3 linked regions of the Saccharomyces cerevisiae S288C genome follow. The main gene of each other region encodes a partner of the protein of the gene in region 3 in a complex. Each region holds a gene or a part of one and is shown on either strand. Other genes may lie near its edges.

Evidence for each region. Proteins that work in one complex are often made in the same cells at the same time.
Region 1: SME1 (region 3) and SNU66 share a complex: the UniProt entries of both Saccharomyces cerevisiae proteins name them as parts of the U4/U6-U5 tri-snRNP complex.
Region 2: SME1 (region 3) and PRP6 share a complex: the UniProt entries of both Saccharomyces cerevisiae proteins name them as parts of the U4/U6-U5 tri-snRNP complex.

The regions. Positions count from the first base shown.
Region 1 is NC_001147.6:894,124-898,163, forward strand, and holds SNU66 (U4/U6-U5 snRNP complex subunit SNU66), read right to left. Parts: upstream 2,265-4,040; coding exon 501-2,264; downstream 1-500. Other genes in the region: RNA-processing protein NOP58, read right to left, coding at 2,702-4,040. UniProt on the Saccharomyces cerevisiae protein: Component of the U4/U6.U5 tri-snRNP particle, one of the building blocks of the spliceosome. Required for pre-mRNA splicing.
Region 2 is NC_001134.8:344,102-349,245, forward strand, and holds PRP6 (U4/U6-U5 snRNP complex subunit PRP6), read right to left. Parts: upstream 3,201-5,144; coding exon 501-3,200; downstream 1-500. Other genes in the region: YRO2 (Yro2p), read left to right, coding at 1-34; MRX18 (17-beta-hydroxysteroid dehydrogenase-like protein), read left to right, coding at 3,778-5,144. UniProt on the Saccharomyces cerevisiae protein: Participates in pre-mRNA splicing. Part of the U4/U5/U6 tri-snRNP complex, one of the building blocks of the spliceosome.
Region 3 is NC_001147.6:632,782-635,823, forward strand, and holds SME1 (mRNA splicing protein SME1), read right to left. Parts: upstream 786-3,042; coding exon 501-785; downstream 1-500. Other genes in the region: mitochondrial 37S ribosomal protein mS26 PET123, read left to right, coding at 1-339; mRNA transport regulator MTR10, read left to right, coding at 1,058-3,042. UniProt on the Saccharomyces cerevisiae protein: Involved in pre-mRNA splicing. Binds and is required for the stability of snRNA U1, U2, U4 and U5 which contain a highly conserved structural motif called the Sm binding site. Involved in cap modification.

The DNA of each region.
Region 1 (4,040 bases), 260 kb from region 3:
ACGAATGGCTCCTTATTAAACACTTTTATCGTCAATCCACTTACTCTCTAAATATCGTAAGCTTTGCATATATAAGCATATAATAAAAATAGTTGGTATATGCTGCACGTGTAGTCTAATGTTCTTTTCTTTTTTTTCTTTATTCTTTTTTCTCCTCTTTATGAATACAGATATTCAATTTTTTGAATATCTGATTGTTTTTATTTTCATTTCAATTTTTTTTTTTTTTCAATTTTTTTTATCCGATCGTTGCGCCAAGCTTCTATCGCTTAAAACAATGACACTTCGCTGTGAAATGACACAATGGCTTGAGATTCAGGCACAACGCAAAAGGTCTTTACAAATGTATATCACAGAATATTAATGTTTGAAAAGTACTTCCGAATTCAAGGCCACCACGTAGCCTTATACACCAAATACAATTATACACAGGTTTCAAACTTGAGAAAAACAAGATATTGAATATTAAAAGCTGGGGCTAGTAGAATTTGCTGATTAGGTTAATTGTCATCAAATTCAAACAAACTACCATTTTCAGGGGTATTTTTCCTTGCTTCAATTCTGGATTTCATTTTTGCTCTCTTTTTCTTGTTGCTTTTTGTACCATGAAATTTCTGTGACAGTTTTTTATATGCCTCCTTAGTAGTCAGTCGATTTCCCTTTTCGTCTCTGTAAACCAGTTTTATGTCAGGATCATAATGATCTTGTCTTTTTGAATGAGTATTTGCATTGGAAGAGTCACTAGATGTGAATTGTTCCAGTCCGTGTAGCTTATCTTTTGTATAAGTGCCAGTGCCCGTATGCTCTTTATTTCGGACATCCCTTCGAAGTGATTCACTATTATTAACATCCTTTCCTGGTTTCAAATCGACGTCTCCTGTGGTGAAAACACTCTTTTTCCGAAGATATCCTAGTGTTGATGCAAGACCAGAAAAAAAGTTCGGTGCATTTTCAGCATCTCCCTCGTAGTTTGGTTCATTATTAACTGCTTCAGTCAGTGTATTGTTTCCACTCCCTTCCTTAGTATGTCCATTGGTAACATCTCCGATATTTTTCTCTCCTTCACCATGCACTTTCACTTTATTCTCAGTAGCACTTCGTTCGGAGAGACTGGTATCCAAAGTATTTAAAAAAGTTACCTTTTCGTCGACGACAATACTGTTGGAAATTTCACGCATTTTCAAAATGCTTTCAGTGCGTCGCTTCTCTTCGTCTCTTGCCTTTTCAATTTCTCTAGCGAGGTCCTCTGGCCCTTTCAATTCATTGTTTGAGCTTGTTCTGGGATTTATTATGGTGACTGGCTGTTCTTCTTCCATCCAGGATAAACTTTCATCTTCATCTACTAACTTAACAATTTCCATCTTATCAGTAATTTTTGACTTCCTAGCTTTAGTAGATCTTGGGTCCTTGATCTTACGTTTTTTAATTTTTAAAGGTTTAAAGTCTCCACCATCTTCATCTGACATATTATTTGCGCTATCGAAATTCACTTTAACTTTTCCCGTTGGTGGTTTTGCTGATATAGTATTCGGTGCCTTCATAACACCCTGTTCTGCTCCGATGATTAGATGTGTAGTTGTAATTGAGTGTTTCTCTCCTTCTTCTTCTTCTTCAATATCTAAGCTAGATACATTTAAAATTTTTTTTTTTTGTCTTCTATCTTTATTCATTTGTCGTAATCGTAGTTTCTCTCTATCAGCGTTTTCCTCGGCAGCTTTCACATTCTCTAACACTTCGGTAGAATCAGTATCATCAAAAATACTGCTCTCTTTCAAAGTTAGAATCGTATCTTTCTTTGGGCTAAGCGCCTCGATATTATATGATACTTGAACATTATGCAGATCAATATTTTCGTCTTCCTTCGTGGCGCCTTTTCTTGGCAATGTGCTGGAACGTTTGGATTCATGTGAGGAAGGAATTGCATCCATGTTTTCTAGCCATGAACTGTCGTCATTTACATTAGTTTCTTCGAGAAGGTGCGCCATTCGTAAAGGAGCGTTCGCCTTTTTTTGAAACTTTGTTATCTTCTCTCGAAGTTCATCGATTTTGGATGTGTTATGTACATTAGGGGGAGAAGAATTGAAATTTTGTTGGGGTGGGATAAGTTTTAGGCCAAGGGACGCCCTCAACTCATTCGTCTCTTCGATTGACAAAGACTCTTTATGGTCTGTATTCTTTTCTTGAAAAACTGGAATAGGTTTCATACCCAGCTTTTCCCTTATTTCATTTGTCTCCTCAATAGAAAGGTTTTCCGTTTTGTTCATAAATTAATTAAGGGTTGATGTGATGATTGCCTTTTTATTAATATCAAATAGTAACGATTGCACCATCTCATCCTTTGCTCACTTTCAAAAATTTTGTATATCTTTTTCGTCCCGCGAATAATTTTAAGTTGCGCAGTTCACGATATGAATACCTATAACTGCTAATGGTACAAATTTTTTAAAGGTTAAACAAAACTTTTAATGATATAAAGTACCTAAAACTATGTAAACATAAATTATGTATACTATTTCAAATATATCACCTAAAAAAAATAATAAGTTCAATTCAATATGGGCGTACAGCACTAATTTACAGATTATGGAATAAAATATGAAATGAGAAATAGGTTAAGCATTGGATAATTATAGAAAATTTTCTAAATCCAAATAAAAGGGAACGCGAGGGGTCACTAATTATTAAAATGTAAAATGCATCCTTATTTCTTCTCTTTCTTCTCTTTCTTGGACTTCTTTTCCTTCTTCTCTTTCTTCTCTTTCTTCTCCTTCTTTTCCTTCTTTTCCTTCTTTTCCTTCTTGTCCTTCTTTTCCTTCTTAGCTTTTTTAGAATCCTTGGAATCTTCATCATCGTCTCTCTTTCTCTTCTTTTCTTTCTTTTCTTTCTTTTCTTCCTCTTCATCATCAGAATCGGATTCAGAATCAGAAGCAGCCTTTGCGGTATCAGCATCTGCATTGTAGGCCCTAGCTTCAGTCATTTCCACCTTCTTAGCCTCACGAACAACCTTTGGAGTAGTTCTTAAATCTCTACCTTCTAATTGGGATAATCTATTTTCTACTTTGGCTCTTGATTCTAGACCAATGTCACCTGAATCGTCTCTATCTTCAGCTAAAGCATCATAACGCAATGAGACAGCGGCCTTAGCAGCCAGAACTCTTGCAATCTTACCTTTGTTCTTACCAGTAGCTTGACCAACAAGAGAGGCATGATATAGCAAACCATACTTTGGTGTATCATGCTTGGTCTTTAAAGCTCTGAATAAAGCCTTTTCGGCACCTAATATTTGGATGGTAGAAGCTGGTGATTTGGCCAAGGAAATTAAGGAACCTGAATGAGCGATAAGTCTAGCACCAACTAATTCACCAACCAACTGAGTCAAGTTTGGAGCAATAGCCTTCATTCTTGCAGACAAGTAATTGGACAACTGTTCTCTGTAAGCGGCAAATTCGACTATTTGTTCAGCTAAAGCATTAATGTTGTCTAGATCGGTTTGAGTGATTTCAGTACCCATAGACACTTCAGCAGCGGTTTTGACACGTTCTTCAATCTCTTCTGGTAAGATTTCACTCAAATCTGTTTCAGAAGCCTTGGATCTGATACCCATTGTTAGAATAATTCTCGCATAAGCGACGGAATCAGTAACAATCTTAGCTAACTCAGGAAAGTGCCACCCGTACCATTCTTTACATCTCATGGCATATGTGTTTAATTCTTTATCTAAATCATCCAATAAAGCAATTGCTTGAATAATCATAACATCAACTTTGTCAGCAGAAAATTTTAATTTGTGACGACCGATGGAATGAGCTAAACCCAAAGACATCTTGCTTAGATCATTATCAGACATACCTGGCAGCAATTCTGGCAAATATTCTTTGATAGCTCTATAGATATCTAAGGTTACAGCATCGGAAACAACATTGAAGTTCAATCCCAACTTATTAATAGCGTTTGCCAGTTTAGTTTCACTAACAATCAAGGTCGACTTCTTGTCCTTTTTAATTTCTTCCAGAAGTTTTTCTAATTGGGAAGAAACTTTA
Region 2 (5,144 bases), on a different chromosome or scaffold from region 3:
AGAGGAGGAGGATGTAGCCACCGACTCTGAGTAAATGCTTTGATCTGCTGATGTAGCAATGTTTTTTTCCTTCTTTTTCCTGACGTATTATTATTTGAGACCGAAACTTCGCTGGAAAAGAAACACTTCGATCCTTTTTTTATCTTCTGCATTATAACGCGCAACGATGAAGTGTTAATACATGAAAGAAGATGGGATTGGATTGTAGCGACCAAAGGCCACAAATAAATATGCACTGTTTTTAAATTTTTTTTTCATTAAAAAAATACGAATAAATTCCTTAAACACATACATCATTTTGCTTCAAATTTTTACGTTTGTAAGAAAGACCATTTGTTGTCTTAATACCTATGAAGCACTACTTATAATCTTAATTAAATCTAATTCTTTTCTTTAACTTTTTTTTTGAGCATCGCTTCTATCAATTATGTGTATACATACATACATACATATAAATATACGCGCAGGCTAAGTAGAAAACAACGCAAGATAGAATTACTTTATTTGTCATTCATCAAGCGCAATAAAATCTCTCTAGGTGTGCAGTATTGCATTTTTACGTTCTTGGAGGCGGCTATCCATTCGGGTCCGTAAGTAGGCTCACATTGATCGAACATATTGTAGAGATCAACAGTATCCTTGCCTAACCTTGCATATGTCCTAAATAGCCAAACCCATGTATCTCCGTAACGCGAGCACTTTTTCAGAGCTCTTTCTAACCATTTTAATGATGTTTCATATTGCGCTTCTGCATAAAAGGATACTCCAATCTCCAAAAGAACGCGATGATCGTTTTGTGTCCTTCTTAAAGCATCTTGAAAAATTGTTTTTTTTAACGAACTTTTGTTTCCATGCTTAAACAGCTTGATTTGCTCCACCCAAAGTAAAGCATTGCTTGGAAACTTTTGCAATGCCTGTGTGACGAGTAACTCCGCCTGATCTAAGTTACCAAGTCTTATTTCCATTTGGATTTTAGCAATGTAAAATAATACATCGTCAGGATTTTTTAACAATCCTCTATCTAAAATTGATCTTGCCCTTACTGGATTTTTTAGATCAATCTCGTCAATCTTTGATAGGGAAACCCATAATAAAGGGCAATTGGGCACTAACCTTGTACCAGACAAATAGGTTTCTCTACTCATTTCAATATTGCCCATGGAATGATAAATTTGACCCAGCTGTAAAAAAAATTTGTGGCAGATGGGAAATGATTTCAAACATCTCTCATTCAAGAATTTTATAGCCTCTTCATTCAGATCTTGGTACCGCAGAAAGTTTACGTATTTATAATATAATCTTTCCGTGCCACTGATCTTAAAATCCTCTAAAGAGGAGAAAGTTTGCTGAAAAAAATCTCGTAATTCATCAAGTTGTAGTGAACGACCTAATAACTTTATCTTGAAAAAGCGTAAATCCAAATTATGCGGGGCGAAATCTATAATCTGGTCAATCAAAACTAGTGTTTGCCTAGTATCCCCTTTTTGGGCCTTCCAATATTCGCTTACATACATCATTAACAAGCCAGGGCTTTTCTCCCTCATATTTGCTCGTATATCATCACTATTCTTGGTCTGAAATAGCAGCTCCTGGAAAAATGCTAATAACTCTTCAATTTTATGGTAGCTTTCAGTGGCCATTTTCAGTCTAGACCAAAGAACTGTATCACAAGGATCCCACTGAATAAGCTTTTTTAAGACAGCAATTTGTACCTTTGAGTGTGGCATTTTTTCTAATATCTGATCAACATTATTCAACTCAGACTCATACTCGCCACTTTCTCTTAACCATTCTAATATAGCGTAAACGATGGCTTGACAGGTTAAATTTGAATTGGGCGCATCATTTAGAGCCTCTGCACGTTTCAACCATGCTGACAAGGTCGCTTTGTACCCATTTTTAGAGAGTTCCAATAAACCCTCCTTGAGCAAACTAACTAGTTTATCTACAGGTATATCTGGGTTATTTCGTTCTTCCAAGAGTGTAGAGATAATCCAAATTTCCGGTTCTTGCGGAAGGATTTTTCTGAAGGAATTCAAAGTCATTTTAGCATTATGATAGCTTTGCAAATTAGTATATGCAGTCAAGAGATCCATACTTTGTGGAATAAATTGTGTGGCTTTCTCTAACATTTTTATAACTTGCGCTTTGTCAGCTTCAAAACTGACAGCTAGCTTCCATAGGCCCTCATCTCGAGGAATCTCTTGCAGTGCTTTTCTCACTACTCTATATTTGTTAACCGTTGTGCTTTCCAAATCAATAGCTTTGAACCAAAGAAGCGGAGACGTTGGATTAAAATTTATTGCCGTTGCCACTAATGTTTTACAGTAGTGAACATCAGATTCGTGTAGTCTAATGTTTTCTAGCCAAATATCGGAGCTTCGAGGGCACTCTTGGCAACCATTTTCTATTATTTTTTTTGCTACTGAAAATTTTCTTGCCTTTTCTTCTAATCTGGCAGAAGCTATCCAACCCTGTGGATTTGTTGGATCGGCCTTTCTGTATGACTTTAAAATTGTGCGCATTTTCTGTAAATCTTCTAACGTTGCGTCTGAGAGAGAATTTACTCTATCGTTTTCTAAGTCCTTTAAGTAACTTAGGGCATCGGTAGCAGCGTTCGGTTTATTAACCTGTATAGGGTTACTTGCATTCTTCGTTAATTGTGCAAGATTCTCATCTATTTGAGATTGCAATAATTTTTCTCGTTCTTCCGTTAATTTATTTAAATCAACATTCCCAGGTATTAGCGAATCCGGTGCAGCATAAGTTTTTCTGTTTAATTGCTCTTGAATTCTATTTCTCTTGTTTCTTCTTGTAAAATCTGTGGCATCCGGAATATCCATCCACTCACTCTCCGTTACAGCAGCTAATGATTCTTTCAAATCGGCAAATTGCCGTTTCACGTTTGAAGAATCAACTGAATTGTCATCATCCTTTTCATTAGCTCTTTTCTTTTTCTTTTGTGCTAATTTCAATTCAAGCGTTTTGAATACATTTGCAGCTTCATCATCTTCATCATCTTTCGGTTGGCTTTGAAGATGGTTGTTCAAATTTTCACGGTACCTTTTCGGTATTCTTCTTCCTTTGTCATCATTACTAACCACTTGCTTTTCTTTTGTTGAAAATCCAGTGGCTCCACGACCAATACCTGGTACGTAACCTGCAGGTGGTTCTTGATCCAAAAAAGATGGCCTCTCCATAAAATGTGACGTTTTCTTGCTGTTAAACTCTTTATGTCAACTCACCCGTATATTTTCTGAAATTTTTCGTTTTTTTTTGCTTAATAGAACAATCTGACACACTATAAATGTACTGGTTAAATTAGCCCAAGGTTCTATCAACGGTAAAGAAGACTTTTAAAAATACTTTCGTTACATTATTTATTAAAAGAAGAAACGCCATCATTTCATAAAGGTCTCCGGAGGAGCTACTAAAGAAAGAGTGCTGCAATTAATACAATTAATATAAGTGTGGTTATTGAAAATAACTATTCATTTATACGGAGGGTTGGCCGAGTGGTCTAAGGCGGCAGACTTAAGATCTGTTGGACGGTTGTCCGCGCGAGTTCGAACCTCGCATCCTTCAGTAATATTTTTTTAATATACATTTTCTCTGCCATCATGGCTTAAAAAATGCTTAAAAGAAGGGAATTAGGGGGGATGGATGAACTAAGACATAACTTTCTTTTCTTCAATTCGAACTCTGTTGGGAAGAGTTGCTTTAAAAAAGACTCTCTATCCATCTATAAAATTTATTAAAACTTTTGAACTGCACAGAATGATTGGCTCACTTAGAAACAAATTTGAGCATTTCAAAGTTTCTGAAAAGGGAGGTCAAAATTTATCTACAACACTACCGAAACTACCCCCTGCAAAGGACCTTGATAGATCAACTATCTACAAGTACCGTTACAATTATGGTGTAAACTTGGGTGCGTTATTTGTGCTCGAACCATGGATTTTTTCTAAAGAAACCATTTGTACAATCGATGGGAAAGAATATGATAGCGAATTTGATGCTATTTCCCAACAATTGAAGAAGCATTCTTCTGAAGACGTTGCGAAAATGTTAAGCGATCACTATAAAAAGTACATTGATCGAATTGACTGGGAATGGCTATCTAAAGATGCCCATATTACAGCGTTACGTATTCCAATTGGATATTGGCATGTCGAAGATGGGAAGCATTTAGATTCGCTTCCATTTGCCCCATTGAGAAAAGTTTATGAGTTAGCCAAACCTTGGGAAAAACTTGGCGAATTAATCAATAATGCCAAGAAAATGAGCATTGGTGTATTGATAGATTTGCATGGTCTACCAGGAGGCGCTAATTGCGACTCACACAGTGGCTCGAAGAGTGGTGAAGCTGCGTTTTTCCACAAGGAAAAGTACATGACCAAAGTCTACAAAGATATTTTACCTGCAATTATTAACACAATGACTCTGGGCAACGAAAACATCATTGGTATTCAAGTGGTTAATGAGGCATGTTTTGATAATAACCCAAAGGGCCAAAAATTCTATTATTCAGAAGCCATTAATACCGTTGAAAAACTTCAACCAGGTTTACCTGTCATAATATCCGATGGTTGGTGGCCCCAACAATGGGCAGACTGGGTTAAAGAAAAACATTTTAGTGAAATAGTGGTCATTGATTCTCATGTCTACCGCTGTTTTTCTGATTCTGATAAGTCGAAGGATGCCAATTCCATTATCAAGGATTTGCCAAATACTGTGAATTTTCCTCATGAAGATGCCGATTATACTGTTGGTGAATTTTCTGGTGTTCTTGATGGACAAACTTGGAATAAAACTTCTGGCGACAGAGACGCTATTGTTCAAAAATACGTACAAACCCAAGCAGATGTATTTTCTCATGTAGCTAGTTGGGGTTGGTTTTTTTGGACTTTGCAGTTTGAATACGGTGATGGAGGTGAATGGGGCTTAGCTCCCATGATGCAGAAAGGAAATTTACCAAAACGTCCTCACGGTGATGACTTACAAGTCGACAAGAAGAAAATAGATTCAATAATCCATGAACACGAGGCTTATTGGAACGGTAAAGGTAAAAATTTTGAACACTGGAGGTTTGAGGATGGCATAAAGACAGCTGTTGATGATATAATTGCCTTTAGGAAATTTGA
Region 3 (3,042 bases):
AATGAATTCATCGTTACAGAATCCCAACTACTAAAGAAAATTGATAAGGTTTTTAACGATGAAACGGAGGAATTCACTGATGCCTATGATGTAACTTCTAACTTCACGCAATTTGGAAATAGAAAATTATTACTTTCAGGTAACACCACCCTACAAACCCAAATTAACAACGCAATAATGGGCTCTTTGTCAAACGAAAAGTTTTTCGATATTTCTTTAGTGGATTCATATCTGAACAAGGATTTAAAAAACATTTCCAATAAAATTGATTCCAAATTAAACCCCACCTCTAATGGAGCTGGAAATAATGGTAATAATAATAATACAACCAACTTGTAAATAACTAATATATATACTACTTCAACATGTCATGTATTCGAAAGTGCCTTAGACGCATTACAACTAAAGAAAAGAAGAAAAAAAAATCAAATCGAGAATAAATATGCCCATGTATATACGTCACTTGCGAATTGTCTATTTCTCTCGTTCCCCTTTTTCTTTCAGTCCGCTGATGTTATCAATGTGATATTATCGCCTTTCAACAGGATCTTCCCCAAGGGCGTGCCCTTCTCCACATCTTCTTTACCATCGGCACTATTCACAGGAATTTCCACGGCTTCATCGATGACAACATTCATGAACTCATCAAATCCAACTATTTTACCCTTGATTCTTATGCCGATTTGCTCGAATAACCATATCGTTACTGGTGTTTGCTGTTGTAAGAAGTTAAATATGCAATTTATTGGTGGCACCATGGCCTTGGTTTTAACTTTGTTCGACATTCCAAGCCTCTTGTTTTTCGCTCTATATCCTTCCTGTGTTCCTTAATCTCCTTTCCTTAGTATTATCTCTTACCTTTACCATCTATTATTGTTATTTCACTTCAATTTTCTATTTCTCTGTTAGATGCTCAGGCTTTCGGTATAATTGAAAAAAATTTTCGAACATAAGGGATATTGACAAAAAAATAAATGAAGGAAAAAGGCATGAAAATACTCGTTGACAGATCAGTATCAAGGATTTATTGAGGATATACTAAGGATTAACTTGCGTTATGGACAACTTACAGGTATCTGATATAGAAACTGCTTTACAATGCATATCGTCTACTGCATCTCAAGATGATAAAAACAAAGCGCTTCAATTTTTAGAACAATTCCAAAGATCAACTGTTGCCTGGTCTATTTGCAATGAAATATTGTCTAAAGAAGATCCTACAAACGCTCTTCTAGAATTAAATATTTTTGCTGCGCAAACTTTAAGGAATAAAGTCACATATGATCTATCACAATTAGAAAATAATCTACCACAATTCAAGGATTCTTTGTTGACGCTTTTATTATCGCATAACCAAAAATTGATTATTACACAACTGAATGTCGCGTTAGCACGTTTGGCGATCCAATTTTTAGAATGGCAGAATCCAATTTTCGAGATCATTTCATTGTTGAATTCTTCACCATCTATATTATTAAACTTTTTAAGAATTTTACCTGAGGAAACCTTAGACATTGCATCTACTTCCTTGACAGAAGTGGAATTCAATTCCAGAATTCATGAACTAATTGATCCGATAGCAGAAGATGTATTGAAATTCCTTGTATCATGCATAGACCTATTACAAAATACAGACGGGAATTCCAGCTCATCTATTTCATTAGAACAAATTTTACGGTGTTTGAACTCTTGGTCGTATGAATTCCCTGTTGAACAGTTGCTAACCGTACAACCCTTAATAAATCTCGTGTTTGAAACTATTTCCAATGGTAATGAAAGTGACATGGAGGCATTCGATTCCGCTATTGATTGTCTCTGCGTTATCCTCAGAGAAAGCAGAGATACTACTAATGAGCAGTTGATTTCTGCTTTATTTCATCAGTTAATGCTTTTACAAGAAAAACTATTGCCTACTCTGTTCACAGACCATCCTTTGAACGATGAATATGATGACGATCTCCTAGAAGGTATGACACGATTATTCGTAGAAGCTGGCGAGGCTTGGTCAGTTGTCATTTCTAAAAACCCCGATTTTTTTAAACCAATGGTTTTGGTATTATTGATGTTGACCTGCAAAAATGAAGACTTAGATGTCGTTTCCTATACTTTCCCCTTTTGGTTTAACTTCAAACAAAGTTTAGTTTTGCCAAGATATCAAGAATCAAGAAAAGCTTACTCTGATATTTTTGTTAAATTAATAAATGGTATAATTACTCATTTACAATATCCATCAGGCCAGTTTTCATCTAAAGAGGAAGAAGATAAATTTAAAGATTTCAGGTATCATATGGGCGATGTGTTAAAAGACTGTACTGCAGTGGTGGGAACTTCTGAGGCTTTATCGCAACCACTAATAAGAATTAAGTCCGCAATAGAAAACAACAATAGCTGGCAAATAATGGAAGCCCCATTATTTTCCCTGAGGACTATGGCTAAAGAAATTTCGTTGACTGAAAACACTATATTGCCAGAAATCATTAAAATCATTTGTAACCTTCCAGAGCAGGCCAAGATTAGGTATGCATCAACATTAGTTCTTGGTAGATATACCGAATGGACAGCCAAGCATCCAGAACTACTAGAAGTTCAATTGCAATATATTTTTAACGGTTTTCAACTGCATGAGGGTTCATCGGATATGCAAAGTATAATCACTGCATCATCACATGCATTAATGTTCTTCTGTTCGGACTGCTCTAAACTATTAGTTGGGTATATTGATCAGTTGATTAATTTCTTCCTCAACGTGCAGAGTTCGATTGATATTGAGTCACAATTTGAACTATGTCAAGGATTAAGTGCAGTAATAAATAATCAGCCAGAGGCCAAAGTTTCAGTAATATTTCAAAAGCTCGTAGATGATAATTTGCGACAAATCGAGGCTTTGATTCCTCAATGGAAAGCAAATCCAACGCTCTTGGCTCCACAGATTGCTGATAAGATTGATTTGCTATATGCGCTTTTTGAAGAATTGAAACCGAGATACAATTATCCTCAGCAAGGATCGGAACCTTTACTCCCCAGGATAGAATTTATTTGGAA